Linked DNA regions of Mus musculus. The main gene of each other region encodes a partner of the protein of the gene in region 3 in a complex. Links are inferred from orthologs where the notes say so. Each region holds a gene or a part of one and is shown on either strand. Other genes may lie near its edges.

Region 1 (4,126 bases), on a different chromosome or scaffold from region 3:
GTGCTGCAGGTGGAACCCAAGGCTTTCGATTTGCTAGGCAAGTGCTCTGCTGAGCCACATCACCAGCCTAACTACAGGCTCCCCACATCGAGAATATCTGCAAGCAGTCCACACAGTCACCATGAGAACCTGTCCACCTCAGTGCTCCCCACTCCACCTCTCACCCAAACAGGCAGCACTCCACGTTAGTGGACCAGTCTCCAGGGCCTTATCTGCCCTTCTGCCCCTTCTGAAATCCAGTCTCCCTGGAGATCTTCAGATAGGTATTTGACCATCTTGTACACTCTCAGGGGTTTATATGGAGACACAGATCCAAATGCAAATTATAACACAAGACCACTGTTTTGCCGTCACCACTGCCTAGCCTCTTGGCTACTCTCTGGGTGGCTGCTGGGGTGACCCAGGTCATACAACTTGTTGACTTTATCTTCCAAGCATCTCTAAACTATAAAGGTCTTATTCAAGTTTCTCTCTCCTCTCCTCCTCTCTCCCCTCCCCTCCCCTCCCCCCCCTCTCTTTCAGTGTGTGAGTCTAGGTTAGTCTAGACAGGGTCTCACTATGGAAATCACTGACCTTGGAAGTGCTGAGATTAAAGACGTGGACCACCGGGCTCTGTGTGTATGTTTTGTCAGTCTTACGTAGACTTGGCTAGCCACAAGACTTCAGTGTAACTGAGGGTGACCTTGGGCACTGTTCCGATCACCCTGCCTCCACTTCTGAATGCTGGGATTACAGGTATGATTTATGCTCTGCAGGGTGCAGGACCTAGAATCTCAGCCTGCAAGGTTAGCACTCTTCGACTGAGTTACCCCTTCAGCTTTTATTTTTCTGCTTTCTTGAAATAGGCTCTTGTTAGGTGTTTCTGTCTTCCAAGTCACAGCGATCCTCTTCTATAGGCCCCTGGAGTCCTGAGAACCCACGCCCCTCTGTAGAAATGAGGGGAAGTTACCAGAAAAGCACAGACATACTGTAAAGAGCAAGGCAGACACACCAACGGAGTAACAAGATCGCGGCTAGGATAGACCTATGATGGGCAGCAGATAGTGATGTAGGAGCGAGACACCCAGAGGGGGAAGGTCTCTAGAGTTCCGGAGTGGGCGGGACCCTGCGCAGCACCGCCTCCTGTCAGTGTGAGGGCAGGCCCTCTGAAACTGTTGGTTGCCGTGTGGGCAGGGCCTCATGCACCACCTCCTTGCCAGCACCTGGTGGGCGGGGCCTCGCATTGCACCTCCTCGCTGGCGCCTGGGCGGGTGGCTTGCATTAGAGGCGATATGGCTGCACTGGTGGAGCCGCTGGGGCTGGAGCGGGGTAAGCGCTCCGAGGGTCCAGTCCGGGCTCTGGGCTCCGTTGGGTTGCGACAGGCTTTGCAGATGCGGGGGTTGGGGGGCGGACCTAGTTAGGGTGGGCGGGGCGCGGCCTGCAGTCTGAGGGCGTGGGAGGGTCTGGGGCGGAGCGCCCCACCAACACCTCGCCCAGGGTTGGGGTCCCCGCGACCCGCGAGGCACGTGGATCGCTTCCAGTCTGACCTCGATTGCCCTTCTTGCTGCCGGCGTATGCTCTCGCGGTCCCTGCCGCTTTCTGCAGACGTGTCCCGGGCTGTGGAGCTGCTGGAGCGGCTGCAGCGCAGCGGAGAGCTGCCCCCGCAGAAGCTGCAGGCCCTGCAGCGGGTCCTGCAGAGTCGCTTCTGCTCCGCCATCCGCGAGGTGAGCATCTTGGTTCTGTATAAGTTGTAGTTTCCTTGCACTCTGCGGCGGGGTCGGCGACGGGCGAGCGGACGAGGACACCGGTGTCCAGGGCTGTGGACTGGCAGCTCTCTGACGTTGCCGTGTCCCCGACTTCCCAGGTGTATGAACAGCTCTATGACACGCTGGACATCACTGGCAGCGCCGAGGTGCGGGCTCATGCCACAGCTAAGGTAAGCTCCTGCTCCGGTAGCTCTGGGTGACCACGAAAGCAGTGCCCTCCTTCACATCAGCGCATCTCTGTGCCACCCTATGAAGATTTATTTATAATGCCCTTTAAATAACTGCACATTTTTAACTTGAATGCACATGAGATTCTCTCTAGCAACAGGCTTGGAAACTGGCCTCACTTTCCTGTCGGTAAGATGACCCTAAAAGGCAATCCTGTTGGATGTTGTGAACAGGGACACCTTTCCAAACTGCAGTGCTTATTACTTATTACTGCCTGCAGACTCAAGATTTACACCTGATCCCTATCACCCCACCCCACCCCCGAGGTGGGGGGGGCACTTGTTTCCATTTGTCTGAGAACAAGATTGGCAGGTGTTAAGTACTAAGGATGCCCTTCTCCCTGACTTTCGGAAGAAAGCAAGGGTTCTCACAGGTCGGAGTCAGTATAGGGTAGCCTCCTGTTGAGCTGTGTCAGGGTTCCCCTACTTGATCTTTGCGGCTACGCTGGCTGGAGTGCCCATGTCTCAAAGAGGGTCTCTCTCATTGAGGCGTCTTCTCTCTTCCAGGCCACAGTGGCTGCTTTCACGGCCAGTGAGGGCCACGCACATCCCAGGGTCGTGGAACTACCGAAGACTGATGAGGGTTTGGGCTTCAACATCATGGGTGGCAAGGAGCAGAACTCACCCATCTATATCTCTCGAGTCATCCCTGGGGGCGTGGCTGATCGCCATGGTGGCCTCAAGAGGGGAGACCAGCTGCTGTCTGTGAATGGTGTGGTGAGTGGGGTTGGTAGTGTCCGTAAGGCAGCCCTGGACGGTCACATTCCCTCTACACAGGGAACACAGCCTTTGGAGACAGCACTGTGGGGTACACTGCTGACCCTCAAGGACTTCAGAGAGCCTAGCTAGGATAGCAGCCCAGTGTAGAAGATGGCAGTTGTTTTCAGGAGGAATATTTGGCTTGGAGGTTGAAGGTTGGGTACTTCTCTGAACTAAGATGTGGAGGGGTGGTTCTGGCTCGGAACAGAGATGGTCCCTGAGATGAGGAGAAAGGCTGGCTCTGCCTGATGTCTGGGCCAGTCAGCATCCTGAAACCCCAGTGATTAGAATCCAAGGAAACACCACCGAGGAGGTCGTCTCTCCAGAAAAGCCCGGCTTCTGGCCCTGGGCAGTGAGGGCAGGAGATCAATAAGCTTAGGGGGTGTAGACAGACTTTTTTGGGACAGGTTCAGTGGCCTGGTTCATTGAGGACACTGGGACTCAAAGCTATCTTGACATGCAGTTTTTAGGTTGTGGGTGCTGTGCCTAAAGTTGGTGATCCACTAGAGGGATATGAGGCCTTGGAGACTTGACCCCAGCAGCCGTGTCACTATCCACTGGTCCCATGTCCTGGGTAGGGTGGTAAGGGCAGCGGTTTGGGCCAGCAGTCTGTGCGAGGCCTGCCCTGCAGAGTGTGGAAGGCGAACACCATGAAAAGGCGGTGGAACTCCTGAAGGCTGCACAGGGCTCAGTGAAACTGGTGGTGCGCTACACTCCTCGGGTGCTGGAGGAGATGGAAGCCCGCTTCGAGAAGATGCGATCTGCCCGTCGGCGCCAGCAGCACCACAGCTACACGTGAGCCTCCAGTCACCATCCTCTCCCTGCTGCCTTCCCCAACCTTAGATACCCAAATCAGGCCAGTGAGCACAGCGGCCTTCAACATTTATCTCTGGCTCTCCACCAGGGGTTTTCTGACCTTTGACTCCTGCCATGGTAGCTAAGGCCCTGGGACCCTCTGGCTCCCCAACTCCAGAAGCCCTGTGCCTGATTTTCTGAACTGTTGTCTCCAGAACCCCACCATTGAACATCTTACGCGCCCTCCCCCACCCCACCCCTGAACCTACCCTGTGTCTAAAACTCCCCTCTCTACACCCTCACAGGTCCTTGGAGTCTCGAGGCTGAAATCACAGACCAGGACCCTCCTTCTCCTCCCCTGTACAGTATTATTTATTGTCACTGGCTCCTTATTTAAAGATCTTTAACCCTCACCGAGTGTCTTGTGTGTCTGTCGCGCATCCTGGAATAGTCTCTGTGGGGGAGGAGGACAGTGAAGCTGAGGTTAAGAACAAGCTCATTCCAGTCTGTGTACCATGATAGACAACGCTCGCGCAGCTCTGAAGGCGGAGGCTGGCCGGTGTCCCAGAGACTAGCCCGACCCAAGGCTGCGTCTATGTG
Region 2 (4,289 bases), on a different chromosome or scaffold from region 3:
GCTCAGAAACAGCAGAGACCTTGCAAATTACTATCAGTTTCCTCCTATTATCTGATCACTTTTCAATTGAGTAAAGCTGGTCCCTCATTTGACGGATGAAGAAACTGCGGATGCACAAGGGACTGCAAGTTTGTCAGATCCTGGGAGCTGTGAAAAGTTGAATTTCATGGTTAAAGTTCTTAAACTTAAAACTCTTAGAAGATGACTACATTGAAAGACTACGTTCAGCATGTATCCAATGATCTGTTGCATAGTTAGATGGTCAGTCATCTTTGACTTTTCAATTCCTGCTGAATTTCTGAGCTTTCTCACCTCTTAGTCTCATTAGAAGAACGTAGCATTTGGTCATACGCAAATACTCTGCAACCCAGTGGGTCTACCTCTGAGGGTCTCTGGGTCACAAGGATGATTTAGCTGTCACAGGGAGGGCAGCATCGCCATCTCAGCTCTGTGTCCACCAATCTCGGTAAAGCCCAGAGGATCTTTCTCCATGTTTCTTCATGGTTTGATAAGGAAATGAGGCTTGGTGAACATTTAGTGAAAGTTGGGATTAAGGCTCATAGTCAGTATTTGAAGGCTCCAGGAACTGAACTGTGATCTACTGACTCAGAAATAAGGCCTTTCACATTATCTACCTGTAATTCGGAGGATGCAGAGAAAGAAAACAAAAGTGAATCCCCAGGTTAAGATGTAGCAAATGGCACCAAACATCCGTGGCTCAACTCTTGTCATGCATGCTAATTAATAAATAGCACCTCTGAATACAAGTTTCTTCCAGATTAACAGGAGAGGGTCCCTGATAAATACTGTTCACTGACAGCAACTCGTTTTTTATTTCAGAACCTTTTAAGGAAGTTTGCTTGTAAAGGCAAGTCATTTTCCTAGGCAATGTACCCAGGTCCTAAACGAACACTGACTTAACAGAACCCTGCCTGGCCCTCAGTCGGTTACCTTGTGCTGTTGAGAGTGGACGTTCTAAACAAAAAGCTTCAACAGAAATTAACAGCAACTACAATGATATAGCAACATCTCCCACGGCTAGTGGCGTTTCCTCTGGAAAGGGATGTGGAAAGGGAGGTTGAAATTTTTTCTTAATCTGAAAAGAATTCTGTCCCCCCACCTCTCTACCCCTGTCTGTCTCTCTCCCGTTTCTGAGTCCTCTTCTTCTGGGTTCGAGTGCATTCTGACCATTATGCTTAGGTGGAAAGTTGAAAGACAGCAAACCTGCTACAGCCACCCAGAGCTACTGACGGGTGGGCGAGCAAAGTTCTAGGGCTGAGCGTTCCTTTCTCAGCTCCTTGGCCAGGCAGGCGCTCGCGGCTACCTGCCCTGCTTGGCGCCGCACTGAAGATTCGCCGCGGCGGAACAGTTGAGTCTCCATCTGGCTACCAACCCACCCGAGCTTTCTTCTCCTCCATCACCACCTTCCTGCCTCCCCCTCCTCCCCCTCCTTTCCGTCTTCCCTCTCCACCCCCGCCCCCAATCTCCTCCTCTTTTTCTCACTACAAGCGGTTGCTGATGCTGAAGCCGAGCGTCACTTCGGCTCCCACGGCAGACATGGCGACATTGACAGTGGTCCAGCCGCTTACTCTGGACAGAGGTAAGGGAGCGGCTGGTCCGTCAGGCCACACAGTCCGCACCGCTTCGCCCTCCGCCCTGCCCAGTCCCACAGGGAAGGCAGGATGCGCTCGGGCAGGGGCAGCTGGGGGAGGAGGATCAGCCCAGGAGGGTTTCGCGCCCGGAGCAGGACACTTTCTTCCCCTCTCTCCTCTCCTGGTCCCCGCTGCCCCTTCTTGCTGCGCTCTCCGGGGCGTAGGTGCTTGCCAGGGCTCGAATGTTTCAGCTGACAGTCTCGGTCCCTCGCCGGGTCGCCTCCGGGCCCCGGCTTTGTTGGAGAGGATGCGCCGGGACCGCTGAGCGCTGGTGACTGGAGGTTGAAGAGGGGCAGAGAAAGCTCTCCCAGCCAGAGCTTGCTAAGGGACCAGTGGGGAAGCTAGCTGCCAACTGCCGGCGCGGGGACCCGAAGGGAGGAAGTTTGTCCCCGCGCTGGAGATGAGGGGTCTGTGCAGCTGTTGTGACTGGGAGATCGCCCCAGGGCGGCAGGGCGCTTGGCTGGGAAGCTGGGTGCAAAGCCGCGGGACTGCCTGGCTAGGGCGCTGCCCTCGGGCGAAAGGGCAGAGCAGAGCTCGGGCAACCTTCGCTGGCTCAGGGACACCGCATCCGGAGCCGAGCCGGCTTGGCTCCAGCTTCCCGCTCGGAGCTGCGGCTCTGGTCTTGGTACTCCCTCAGCCTGCAGTTCCAGGGAGGTAGCAACTCCTGTCTCCTGCTCCAGCAAACCTTGTTCTTCACCAGTCAAGTGTACCTCAGTGCCTGGGCTGCAGAAGGCGCGGAGACAAAGCGCAGGCTGGGTAACTGTTTAACTTCTAGCCTGTGACCTGTGCGTCCTACTCTTTGGCTGAAACGGAAAGAGCTTTTGCTCAAACCTTTCCAAACCTTTCCAAACCTTTCTCTAGGATCGGGCCCTGCTGAGTGCACCCGAGTAGTACCTGGCGGTGGATGGGAGTTTCCTTTCTGCCTCACCAGGTCCAGTTAGTTATTAGGGCTCCAGAGTCCCCAGCTCTGCAGAGAGAGGGCACCTCTAGCTCTGGGTCCGCAGCGGCGGGGCTTAGGACCCGGTGCAGTCATTTGAAAATGCTGTGCTCAGAAGAAAATGATTTAGTCCTTGTCCCTCTAAAATTTCTCTTTCTGGAGGATTAAACTAGCGGCCCAGCAAAGCAAAAAGAGCATCGTACAGCGAGCACAGTGGCAAAGCTGGTAAACTGTATTTGAGGTTCTTAATGTGGAGAGATCTCTGGTGACTTTAACTCAATCTGTTGGTGCCAGAACGGATATTATGCGGTGCCCATAGCAACCTTACTTAGGGTAAGAGTTGAAAAATAATTGATTTTTATGTTGGGAAATGTTCGTTTACAGATTAATAAGAGTAAAGAGCTCAGAAGTCCGTCGTATAATCTATGATTTTAGTCCCAATATCATCTGTACTAAGCAGGATAAATCCATTGCTGGTAAGAGCCAAACAGATGGCAGGCTATTAAAAACGATGGGTTTCCCAAGTTATTTCTGTTTTAATGTGATGAGCTCTTCTATTGTCCCATTACTGAATTACAGTCATTAAACACCCCAAGTTTAACTATATTAAACAACCCAAGTTCTAACTATGTTAGATGCAAACACTCCAAGAAGACAACATACTCAAGCAAATTTACATCCCACCACTACTATTAGCAATGCAACTAGTCCACTTTGGGGAAGTTTATCTTAGCCCTTGGACACCCCAGTCAGCTATCTAGAGAAGACCAAGATTTAAAGTGTGTTCTTGTTTATATTCAGAGGGTACCTGTCCTTCTGTGATTAGATCTGTAGAGTAAGTAACAAAGGAAGCCCAGTCAGGTTATCTATGGGAACATCTGAATTATTGAACCACTGGCTTTAAGTGCTCTGTGTGTAAGAAGTCCGTGAAGTTATCTTCCCTCTAATTCACTATGATAGTACACCAAGTTAAGTAATTTTATTAGGTTGATGGAATATGTGATTCTAAGCTTTGTCCTGGTTTGGTTGGGCATTAGGACATGAAGGTCTGATAATTGTGAAGATGTGCAGTGTTAGCAGCCTGTAATTCGGTTAACCCAACTTAGGGCTCAGCGTTTGGCCACCTACTGGCGATTTTGGGTCACTCCAAGTTTCCAGAGTGCCATTTGATACGTTGGTGGCCCATGTTATACACTCTAAATTTGCTCACTCAAAAGCTTTTGGCTCCATCAAAGCCTTTATAATTTACAATCCTTCTTTCCTTTAGTCTCCCCCAATGTGTAAAGCTCCTTGAGGGACGAAGCCATTTCTTAACCCATCTTTGAATTTCTCATCATCCCTGACTTGTGATGGAGTATAAAGTCAATGTAGACTAGTGATAGTGAACTGAAGCTGGAGTAAATGGAGAACTGTTTGTTATACAGATTTCATACGGAACTGGGGTACAGTTATGAGGTTATGGCCCTGCAGAGCTAGCAAGGATGCTAGAAAGGAGCACGTAAGGCGGTGGCTATGAACCGTTCCCAGATTCACTTGGTGGATCTCTACCAGCCACACCTGTTTAGCAAGACTGGGTTTCTTTATGTAGTCCTTGCTGTCCTGGGACTTGCTTTGTAGACCAGGCTGGCCTTGAACTCAGAGATCTGCCTGCCTTTGCCTCCTGAGTGCTGGGATTAAAGGGAATGTGGCATCTCGGGCCT
Region 3 (4,232 bases):
GCACCTTGGCAGTTGGAAAGTTCACAGTTGTTCTCTGATGTGTAGTTTTCCCAGGGTGCTATGAATTCTGGAGGGACGAGGACCCTATCTGGCTTTCACCAGAGAGGGTAGTTTTACTGACAAGATGAATAGGGAATGACTGTCACAAGAAAAACAACAATGGCCCTTATTTCTAGTATATGTTTAAGTTTTATGAAAAGATACTGGGGGGACAGGAGAAGCTATACTTTTCTTTGTCAAAGCCAAGAAACTAATTACGAAGTAGAATGCAGAAATTCATGTGAATTTTAAGGCTAAACAAGAATTCTAGGATGCCTCGGGCTACACCCGTAGATATTTCTGGAGATACTGTGCTTAATATGGAAATACTGTATAATGATAGATTTATCTCTCCCTAGGTCAGATAAGGAAGGCTTGTCTTCATTTCACTAGATGAGAATATGCATACTAAGACGGACTTGAAAATTATAAGGTTTCGGGGGAATATGACCCTTAATTTTTAAATTGAGAACTCTGTCCCAAAGAGGGGGGAGGATGTAGCTATGGAATCGCCTATTACAGATGGAGCTGGCGCCTGAACCCAGGCGCCTGAACCCAGCCCCGCCCTCGCCCCTCCACTCCCACCCCGCCGCCGCCCAGGGGCCAGTCCACCTTTTCATTAAGTCACAACACCTGCTACCTGGTCCCTAGTGCTCAGGGTCCCCACCCTCCAGAGAACCTAATCATATACCAGGCGAATTGCCTCTGCACGTCTGGAAGACTCTTTTAAGCTCCTAGCAACGGGCATCGAGAAACCAAGTGGACCATTTCCCGACCCCGCCTTCCAGACGCTTTCTGGGTGGGGCGGGTTGGGCAGCGCCCCCAGTGGGCGGCCAGACAGACGCCCAGCTTGTTCCTCTCAAGCTCACGCGGGCGCCCCCTCGCGGCCACTCGAGGAGCGCAGCGCCGCATTGCAAGCTCCAAGCTTTTTCTTGGCTTTCAGGCCCGGGAAGCGGGAAAACTGCGTGTCACTAAGCAAGAGGACACGGGCAGCCGTCCACGCGGCAGTGTGTCCTAAGCGTGACCAGAGCCCATTCGCAGAGACGGGGCCGGGGATGAGCGTTAGGGACCTGGGACAGAGGACCGTGGAGGTCCCCCTGTGTCCCCGCGGGAGGCAGCCACGTAGTCCATTCCAGGCTCTCGGCCACGAGAGGGAGGGACTCGCGCACAGCTACGGCGACGGCTGTGGACCCCTCGCACGCTCACGCGCGCCCGAGCTGGACTGTCGCGTCGGGCCCGCGCCGCGCGCGCGCACGCGGGTGGGCGTGGGAGGCAGGGGCGCTGCTGCACGCGGCGTGCGCGCGCTCCCCCCGCCGTCAGTCGCAGCCGCCCGGCCCCGGCGCGCGTCACGAGGGCGAGCGGGCGGCGAGCAGGGGGTGGGGCCGCGGCCGGAGGGGCCCGAGCGGCTGCCGAGCTAGAGCCGGAGGAGCGGGGCGCGGGCGGCTGCGGTCCCGGTGGCGGCGGGGGAAGATGGTGGCGCTGGAGGCGGGAGCAGCTGGAGAGCAGCTTTATTCCCAGGCTTGGCACGGTCGCTGTCACTAGCGCCGCCTGCTCCCGCGGGCCCGCGGACCCAGCTGTCAGGCAAGGTACCACCGCCAGGGCGGGCTGGGTGAGTGCCGGGCGCCCGACGCCCCGGACGGAGCTCGGGTCCTTTTGGAGGGATGATCCCGGGAGCTAGGGGTGAAGCGTGGAACAATAGTGCGGATGAACAGGGACGGCAGGCGACATCCAGGGAGGCAGTGCTTGGAGCTAGCGAGGCGGGGGAAGGGTGTGTACTAGAGAGATGCCAGGCGTCCGGTGCGCGCTGAGATACCCGGCTTTGGGAAGAGCGGGCCTGATGACAGTCACGGAAGGAGTGTGTGTGTGTGTGTGTGTGTGTGTGTGTGTGTGATAGCAGAGGGGATGGAGGTGGCAGATCCGAAGTGTAGGGGGAGATGACATTTCCAGGAATCCCCGCTAGGATCCCTCCTCTCTGGCTGACTGATGATGGAAACCGTGAGGTGGGCAGGATGCACTTGGTGTGTGAAGTGTGGAGGGGAGGCAGTAGGGTAAGGCCGGGTTTGTAAAATCCCGTGTAAGAGTGAGTGTTTAGCGTGCAATTGGATCCACGCTCTCAAAACTGCGCCCCACATCCAGCGATCTGCTTTTCCTGACTTGATGCCGCCAGCTAACACTGTGGGACAGTATTGGTTATTTTGACCCTGCAAGTCTAAGAACAGTTTCTGTTCTGCTACTGTTCTTGGGTGGCTGGGTGTACGGATTCTCGCTTCCCCTTTCCCTAACGTCCTAACACGGGGATGTGGAAGTGAGCGGTTGCTTTGAGGCACATGGCAGCAAACCAGGATAATGGTTACACCTTTTGAGACAGCTGGTGTCCCTGGCTCTGAAGGGCGCTTTCTTTGGCACTTCACAGCCTCTCATTGACTGCCTGACTCTGCAATTTCTATTGTTTATCTCTTGTCTAACCCCAAGAAGAGGGTGTTTAATGGTCATCTTCCTCTCCCGTTCCCACAACTTTTATCACCAGACTCCCTTCCATATATAAGTACTGAAAACCTTCTAGCTGAAGATTGGATAGTCTTTGCAATGATTCTTTTAGAATAAACTCTTGAGGTGTGTAAAGAAGGTGGGGGCTTTAAAAATACAAGAACAAGATTGAAAGGGAAGTAAAAAAAAAAAAAACAAGGAAAAAAAAAAGAGTGCCCCAACATGCATTCTCTTGGGTGTTTTTCCGTGGGAAATGGGATGCTAGTGACAGCCACTCTCCCGGCTTTCACAATGGTTAGAAGGTCCATTTAGGAACTGAAATTTCCCGAGACCCATGGATATAAGATCTCCAGTCAGTGAAGTCCCCGATTTCCTTCCCAGGACAGCTCACTCGTAGGAAATTTGGCAAATGTTTGGCTCTCCAATGATGTCTAGGAACCAAGACAGAGAAAAAGCACGCAGAGTCTATAGATGCTTAAATTTCTCTGCGTAATAAAGATAGGGTTGCGTAGAGAGGGAAAGCACTAGAGATGGCATATCCGTATGCGTGTCCACTGCCGCCTGGTTCCCTGGAGTCTGTATTTCTCCTGCAATATCCATAGGAGTGAATGCACCTTTATGATAATAGCCCAGTACTTTACTGATGTCATATGATTGGATTCACCTGCTTGGGACATATTTTAGTTATAATACCTTAAATTCTACTGAATTGCTGTCAGAACCCAAATGGGCTGCACTGGGCCTCTTTGAAAAGCTTGAAATAATCACAAGGATGTACAAATAAATGTATGATATACTGACACCAAAGATTTCTTTCTTTTTCTAAAAATTTTATTCTTTGGGCAAAGTATAAAGTGTTATTCCATGGGTACATTGAAAATAATAAAGCTAAGGCCATCTACATATGACTTTTCCTTCTCGTTTATTGTTTTTAAAACAAATGATGACATGTGGACCAACTATGCTGGAAGCTATGAGTGTAAAGTAAATTTCCCCGCATCCTTCAAGCCAAGCCTTCTGAAATTTTAATGTGAGGTTGTTGGATCTCATCCGAGACTTTAAAAAGGACTTATAAAAATGAATTTAGAATCCTAGTTCTTTAACTCTCTTAATGCTTTGGCCATATCTCATTCTGATGGATGTAAGTCACTTAAGAGGCTTAGGTTTCTTTACTTTAAAAAAAAGTTATCATCTCTGTATACGCAAGTAAAACCACATATGTAAATTTCTTATAAGAAAACTCAAGAATATTAGAAATTACCAACGTAAACAGCCTGATTAGAGAAAGAAGTGCATACAAACACAATTGATGACTTGAGAATTTCTGATTTCCTTTCTCATGTAAATGAGAGACTTTTTCAAATGCCATGCCCTGCTTTCCTAACGTTTGGCCCGGTGAGGTTAAAGGTACAGCTGAGATCTGTAATTCAGTTTGGTAAATGGCTGCACCTCTCCCTGCAGCCTGCAGCAAGCCATTTGTTTTGCATGAATGCCTCTTCGTCTTCTTCCCTAAAAGCAGCTTTAATGCCTTTCTCCTCTACCGCAAGCCTCCCTTTGAAAAGTTTGTCTTTTCAGAAGACTTGGAAGTAAAGGACATTTGAAAATTGACCTGCAGGGCCAAAAAGGGATAAACCATGGTGCCACGGGGGAAACTGAGCTTTTATGCTGCAAGGAAGACAAAATAGAACATCGAGTGGTAGAAACAG
Region 4 (4,055 bases), on a different chromosome or scaffold from region 3:
TCACAAGCACAGATGTATGTCTCCTTGGTATGGATTAATTTTAAGAAATATTAAGCCGGCCAGTGGTGACGCACACCTTTAATCCCAGCACTTGAGAGGCAGAAGCAGGCGGATTTCAGAGTTTGAGGCCAGCCTGGTCTACAGAGTGAGTTCCAGGACAGCCAGGGCTATACAGAGAAATATTAAAGTATTAGGGGCCAAAGACATAGTTCAGCACTTCCTGAATCCTAGCACCCACTTGGTCATCTCACAATTACCTAAACCTCCACGGACCTGACACCCTCTTCTGCCACGCCCCTCTCCAAAGTCTCCCAACATATACAACTTAAAAAGAAAAAAATATGAAAGAGCTACAAACACACACACACACACAGACACATTTAGCATATTAGATAACTGTCATTGGGAATGTAAAAAATGTGAACAAAGAACTTTAGAAAACTCAACTTCATGTTATAACACTATTAATCACAATCTCTGTTCTGAGTTTTTTCCTAAGGTTTTTCTGAACCCCAGCCTCAGTATATTCTTATTGCTAATTAAGTAGCAGTAAATTCTAATTAAATTTAATTAAGTAAGTTTGAATTGTGCTCATTTGGCTCCAAAGGTTAGGATACCTTAGAGTCTATATAAGTCTATATACTATCCTATATATTCTGATCCTTGCATACTTTGACTTAACTAGAGGAAAGTTTTGATTTCATGCCACGTTAAAAACCGGACATTTAGCCGGGCGTGGTGGCGCACACCTTTAATCCCGCAACAACAACAACTACAACAACAACAACAACAACAAAATACCAGGCATTTACTTCACAGAATTAGTTAGGACTTTGCATTTGTTTATGAAAAAGTCCAAATAAACTTAGTAGAGAAGCAAAAAGTTGATTCAGTTTTAGATAATAAAAGTTTAAACTGCTATTAATCAGTTAATCAAACAGACCAGCTTTGCTCTGATGTCCCACCACCAGAATGGCTAGTAAATGTTGTTTCAGCAGTTGTTGATTTACAGTCACAATACATTATCCACATTAAAATCCTACATATACAGCTGGGAAAACGGCTCAGTGGCAGAGTGCTCACCTAATATGTACAAGGCTCTCAACTCAATACAACATGGTGGGAAGAAGGAAAAGAGGAGATAGGAGAGGGTAGAGAGAAGGGAGACACTTAGAAATGAGTTAAACACTCTATACCAAATATATGCTCATTAAGTTTGTGCACCAGTGAATTGTGCTTTGATGATTTTGAAGCAAACAGGAACTTGGTCATATGTACTGGTATTTTGCTGTGGAATTGTACTGTGGAACTTTTGAGAATATGCTAGGTCTGTTAGAATTCTTGATCAGAATCGGACTTGACACCAACTGCCTTGCTTATCCTGCTAACTGGCAAAAACCAACTAGGACTTCATTCCTACCAATATTTTGAGCTTTCTACTGTTTAACTGAAAAACTTCCTAACAGCAAAAAGCAGATGTCAGAGGGAAAAGGTCCACATTTTGTGCTTCATTTAAAGATACAAAAGAACGCCATCTTGTTTGAAACTTGCAACTCTTCTGGTTAACACCAACAGATTTGTTCCTGTGTAACAATGTGTTCAAAGCACATTGACACCGTAGTACTTGAGGGGAAAATGACACAGCTGTAAGCCTACCTTATTCTTTCCCAAGCTACCCTGTCACAAACAAGTTCATTTATTTAAAAAGAAACAAAAGGCTCCCATGGTCACTACAATAAAAAGCAAAACGAATCATAATCAGCACAGTGTGTGAGGAAAGAGGTTCTATTACATACACAAATTTTATAAAATGATTTCCTTCTTGGACGATATTGAGATTATAATTGTGAATACTAAATATATGCAATGTCAAACTCCATCCCAGGCGATGTTTGCCAACAGCACTCGAAATGCTTAACTGGTACTTTCTGGTTACTATGACTACCGAATTGTACAAAGCTTGTTCCAGTTGTCTGAAATTTAAGTTGGGGCAGAACAGAGTACAATACTGGAAAGCTGCAACTGGACCCTGGGAGAGTCTTTTCACAGGCTTCTCTTCAATCGGGTTGGTTTTTCTTGGCTGTTTGCTCTAAGAAGCAATCAACCAACCAGGTTTCCAAGTGTAGGGTTTATGAGTATGGAATTGCATGGCACTTAAAAGTGACTTACAATCAAATCACTACTCCACCTAGTTATGTAATCTCCTTCCCAAGATCAAGTCAGTTGGAGGGTTTTTTTTTTGTTTGTTTTTTGTTTTTGTTTTTGTAAGCATCCTCTCCGTGGCTGGAGGGGTGCGAAAGTTAGGAAAGAGCAACTCAAAGCCCGGAGGCTGTGGTCACAGTACTGAAGGAGTCTGAGTTTTAAATGGGGGCGAGGGAGTTTCTGCGGGAATGTGTCTGTGTCGGCCAAGTGGCAGAACCAGGCCAAGAGGCCACACTGATCTGTTCGCGCACACTGACCGTAGACAGTGCCGGGCTGCGTGGTGGCCTCGGCTTTTAGGGTCTATGAAGCTGAAAGCCGATGCTGCGGTGCGGACCCAGGGAGCGCCCGTGCCTACAGCCGTGGGCAGGCCGCTGAGCCGTGCTGTGCCCGCCGCCAGCCTCAACGGCCGGCTCTGGCGAGCTTTCAAACGCCAGCCAGCGCCCCCCGCGAGCAGCGCCCGGCGCCGAGGCCGCCGAGGGCTTCCGGGGCTCAGCGTCCGGGTCACCTTGCCTCCGCTCCGGCCCGCAGGCAGAGCGGTTCGTAGTCTCGACCCGCCCCACCCACCGCGGCCGCGACCCCCGCCGCACTCACCCCTTTCCAGCCGGACAGGTTCGCCCAGCGCCGCCATCTTCTCTTCGGAGGTGCAGACCCACAGGAAGTGACGACAGAGGGGCCGCGGTGGACCAGGCCGAGAAAGCGGAAGGGCGAGGATGGTAGTAACGCGAGAGCTAGAAGGATGCGGGTAACTACGCAGAGCGGTAGCCGGGGACGCTTTGCGACCGACGGGTGGCCTCCTTTCGTGGGTCTGTGCTCGTCCACTTCCAACAACCTGAGGTTGAAAAGAACCGATGTCCCGAGTGTCCCCTGCCTCGGGGAAGTCAGGACCTTAGTTCCGGCCCTTACCCGACCGACGGCAGCCTCTGACCGTCTAGGCTGGTTTCCCCATGTCCGAGTCCTCTTATAAATTCTTAATATCCTAGCTTGATCTAATTTAAAAAATTTACAATTCGAATTTTATCTAAAACTCTCTTTGAGCAGAAAGGTGGGAAAAAAAACAACCGGGAGAGAACGCTTTGGTATACACGAAGTATTGTTTTTAGTTAGCCGATTCAAAATCTGCTTGTGAATGAAGGATGAAGCATAGATTTTGTTTTATGGGTACATTTTGTAATTTGTAAGAATTTTTATATTAATGGGTGTTTTGCCCTTATGTATATCTGCACCATTTACAAACCTGAGGCCACAAGAGGGCATCTATTCCCCTGGAACTGGAGTTACAGATGGTTGAGACCTGCCCTGTGGGTGTTGGGAATCTAACCCCAGGACCCCTGGAAAAGGAGCCAGTACTCCTAACAGCACTGTCTGTCATCTCCAGATCCTCATAGGGCCACTCTTGAAGACTTGGTGGACCCAAATATTTTTAGTCACTAATTTCAATGAAATAATTTTTGTGAAACTTGGATTTGGGTAGCAAAGATCATAGTCCAGTGTTAAGTTTGTAACACCTGCACGACAGGATTGTTTTAATAGCTGGTTGCAGGTGACCCATTCTTTCCGTTGAACTGCAGTTTTCTACATGTTGTTATTAGGTAGTTGAATCCCACCACTGGGCAGTAGCCTTCAAGCTTCCTCATGCTCCATACAAATGACACAGGTTTTCTTGGCTGACAGGAGCTATTCTTATGAGCTGGGGTTACACATTACTTACTTTTCCAGAGACTCGAATCTGCAGACTTGTACAAGCTACACAAATCTGAGCTTTATCTCTATCTTCTGCTCCTTTGGAGTAGTCTTTTTCCATGTCTTTGATGATAAACACACAAAAAATCCCAGAATTCCAGGCTTACGCAGAA

Evidence for each region.
Region 1: Apba1 (region 3) and Lin7b share a complex: the UniProt entries of both Homo sapiens proteins name them as parts of the brain-specific heterotrimeric complex. The link is inferred for Mus musculus from reciprocal best matches to the Homo sapiens genes APBA1 and LIN7B.
Region 2: Apba1 (region 3) and Lin7a share a complex: the UniProt entries of both Homo sapiens proteins name them as parts of the brain-specific heterotrimeric complex. The link is inferred for Mus musculus from reciprocal best matches to the Homo sapiens genes APBA1 and LIN7A.
Region 4: Apba1 (region 3) and Lin7c share a complex: the UniProt entries of both Homo sapiens proteins name them as parts of the brain-specific heterotrimeric complex. The link is inferred for Mus musculus from reciprocal best matches to the Homo sapiens genes APBA1 and LIN7C.

Annotation. Positions count from the first base shown.
Region 1 is NC_000073.6:45,367,704-45,371,829, reverse strand, and holds Lin7b (protein lin-7 homolog B), read left to right. Parts: upstream 1-1,265; 5' UTR 1,266-1,271; coding exon 1,272-1,308; intron 1,309-1,584; coding exon 1,585-1,703; intron 1,704-1,843; coding exon 1,844-1,915; intron 1,916-2,479; coding exon 2,480-2,689; intron 2,690-3,362; coding exon 3,363-3,526; intron 3,527-3,831; coding exon 3,832-3,853; 3' UTR 3,854-3,939; downstream 3,940-4,126. UniProt on the Homo sapiens protein: Plays a role in establishing and maintaining the asymmetric distribution of channels and receptors at the plasma membrane of polarized cells.
Region 2 is NC_000076.6:107,270,343-107,274,631, forward strand, and holds the start of Lin7a (protein lin-7 homolog A), read left to right. Parts: upstream 1-1,488; 5' UTR 1,489-1,518; coding exon 1,519-1,600; intron 1,601-2,051; exon of another isoform or gene 2,052-2,922; intron 2,923-4,289. UniProt on the Homo sapiens protein: Plays a role in establishing and maintaining the asymmetric distribution of channels and receptors at the plasma membrane of polarized cells.
Region 3 is NC_000085.6:23,757,444-23,761,675, forward strand, and holds the start of Apba1 (amyloid-beta A4 precursor protein-binding family A member 1), read left to right. Parts: upstream 1-1,432; 5' UTR 1,433-1,648; intron 1,649-4,232. UniProt on the Homo sapiens protein: Putative function in synaptic vesicle exocytosis by binding to Munc18-1, an essential component of the synaptic vesicle exocytotic machinery. May modulate processing of the amyloid-beta precursor protein (APP) and hence formation of APP-beta.
Region 4 is NC_000068.7:109,889,660-109,893,714, reverse strand, and holds the start of Lin7c (protein lin-7 homolog C), read right to left. Parts: upstream 2,838-4,055; 5' UTR 2,831-2,837; coding exon 2,794-2,830; intron 1-2,793. UniProt on the Homo sapiens protein: Plays a role in establishing and maintaining the asymmetric distribution of channels and receptors at the plasma membrane of polarized cells.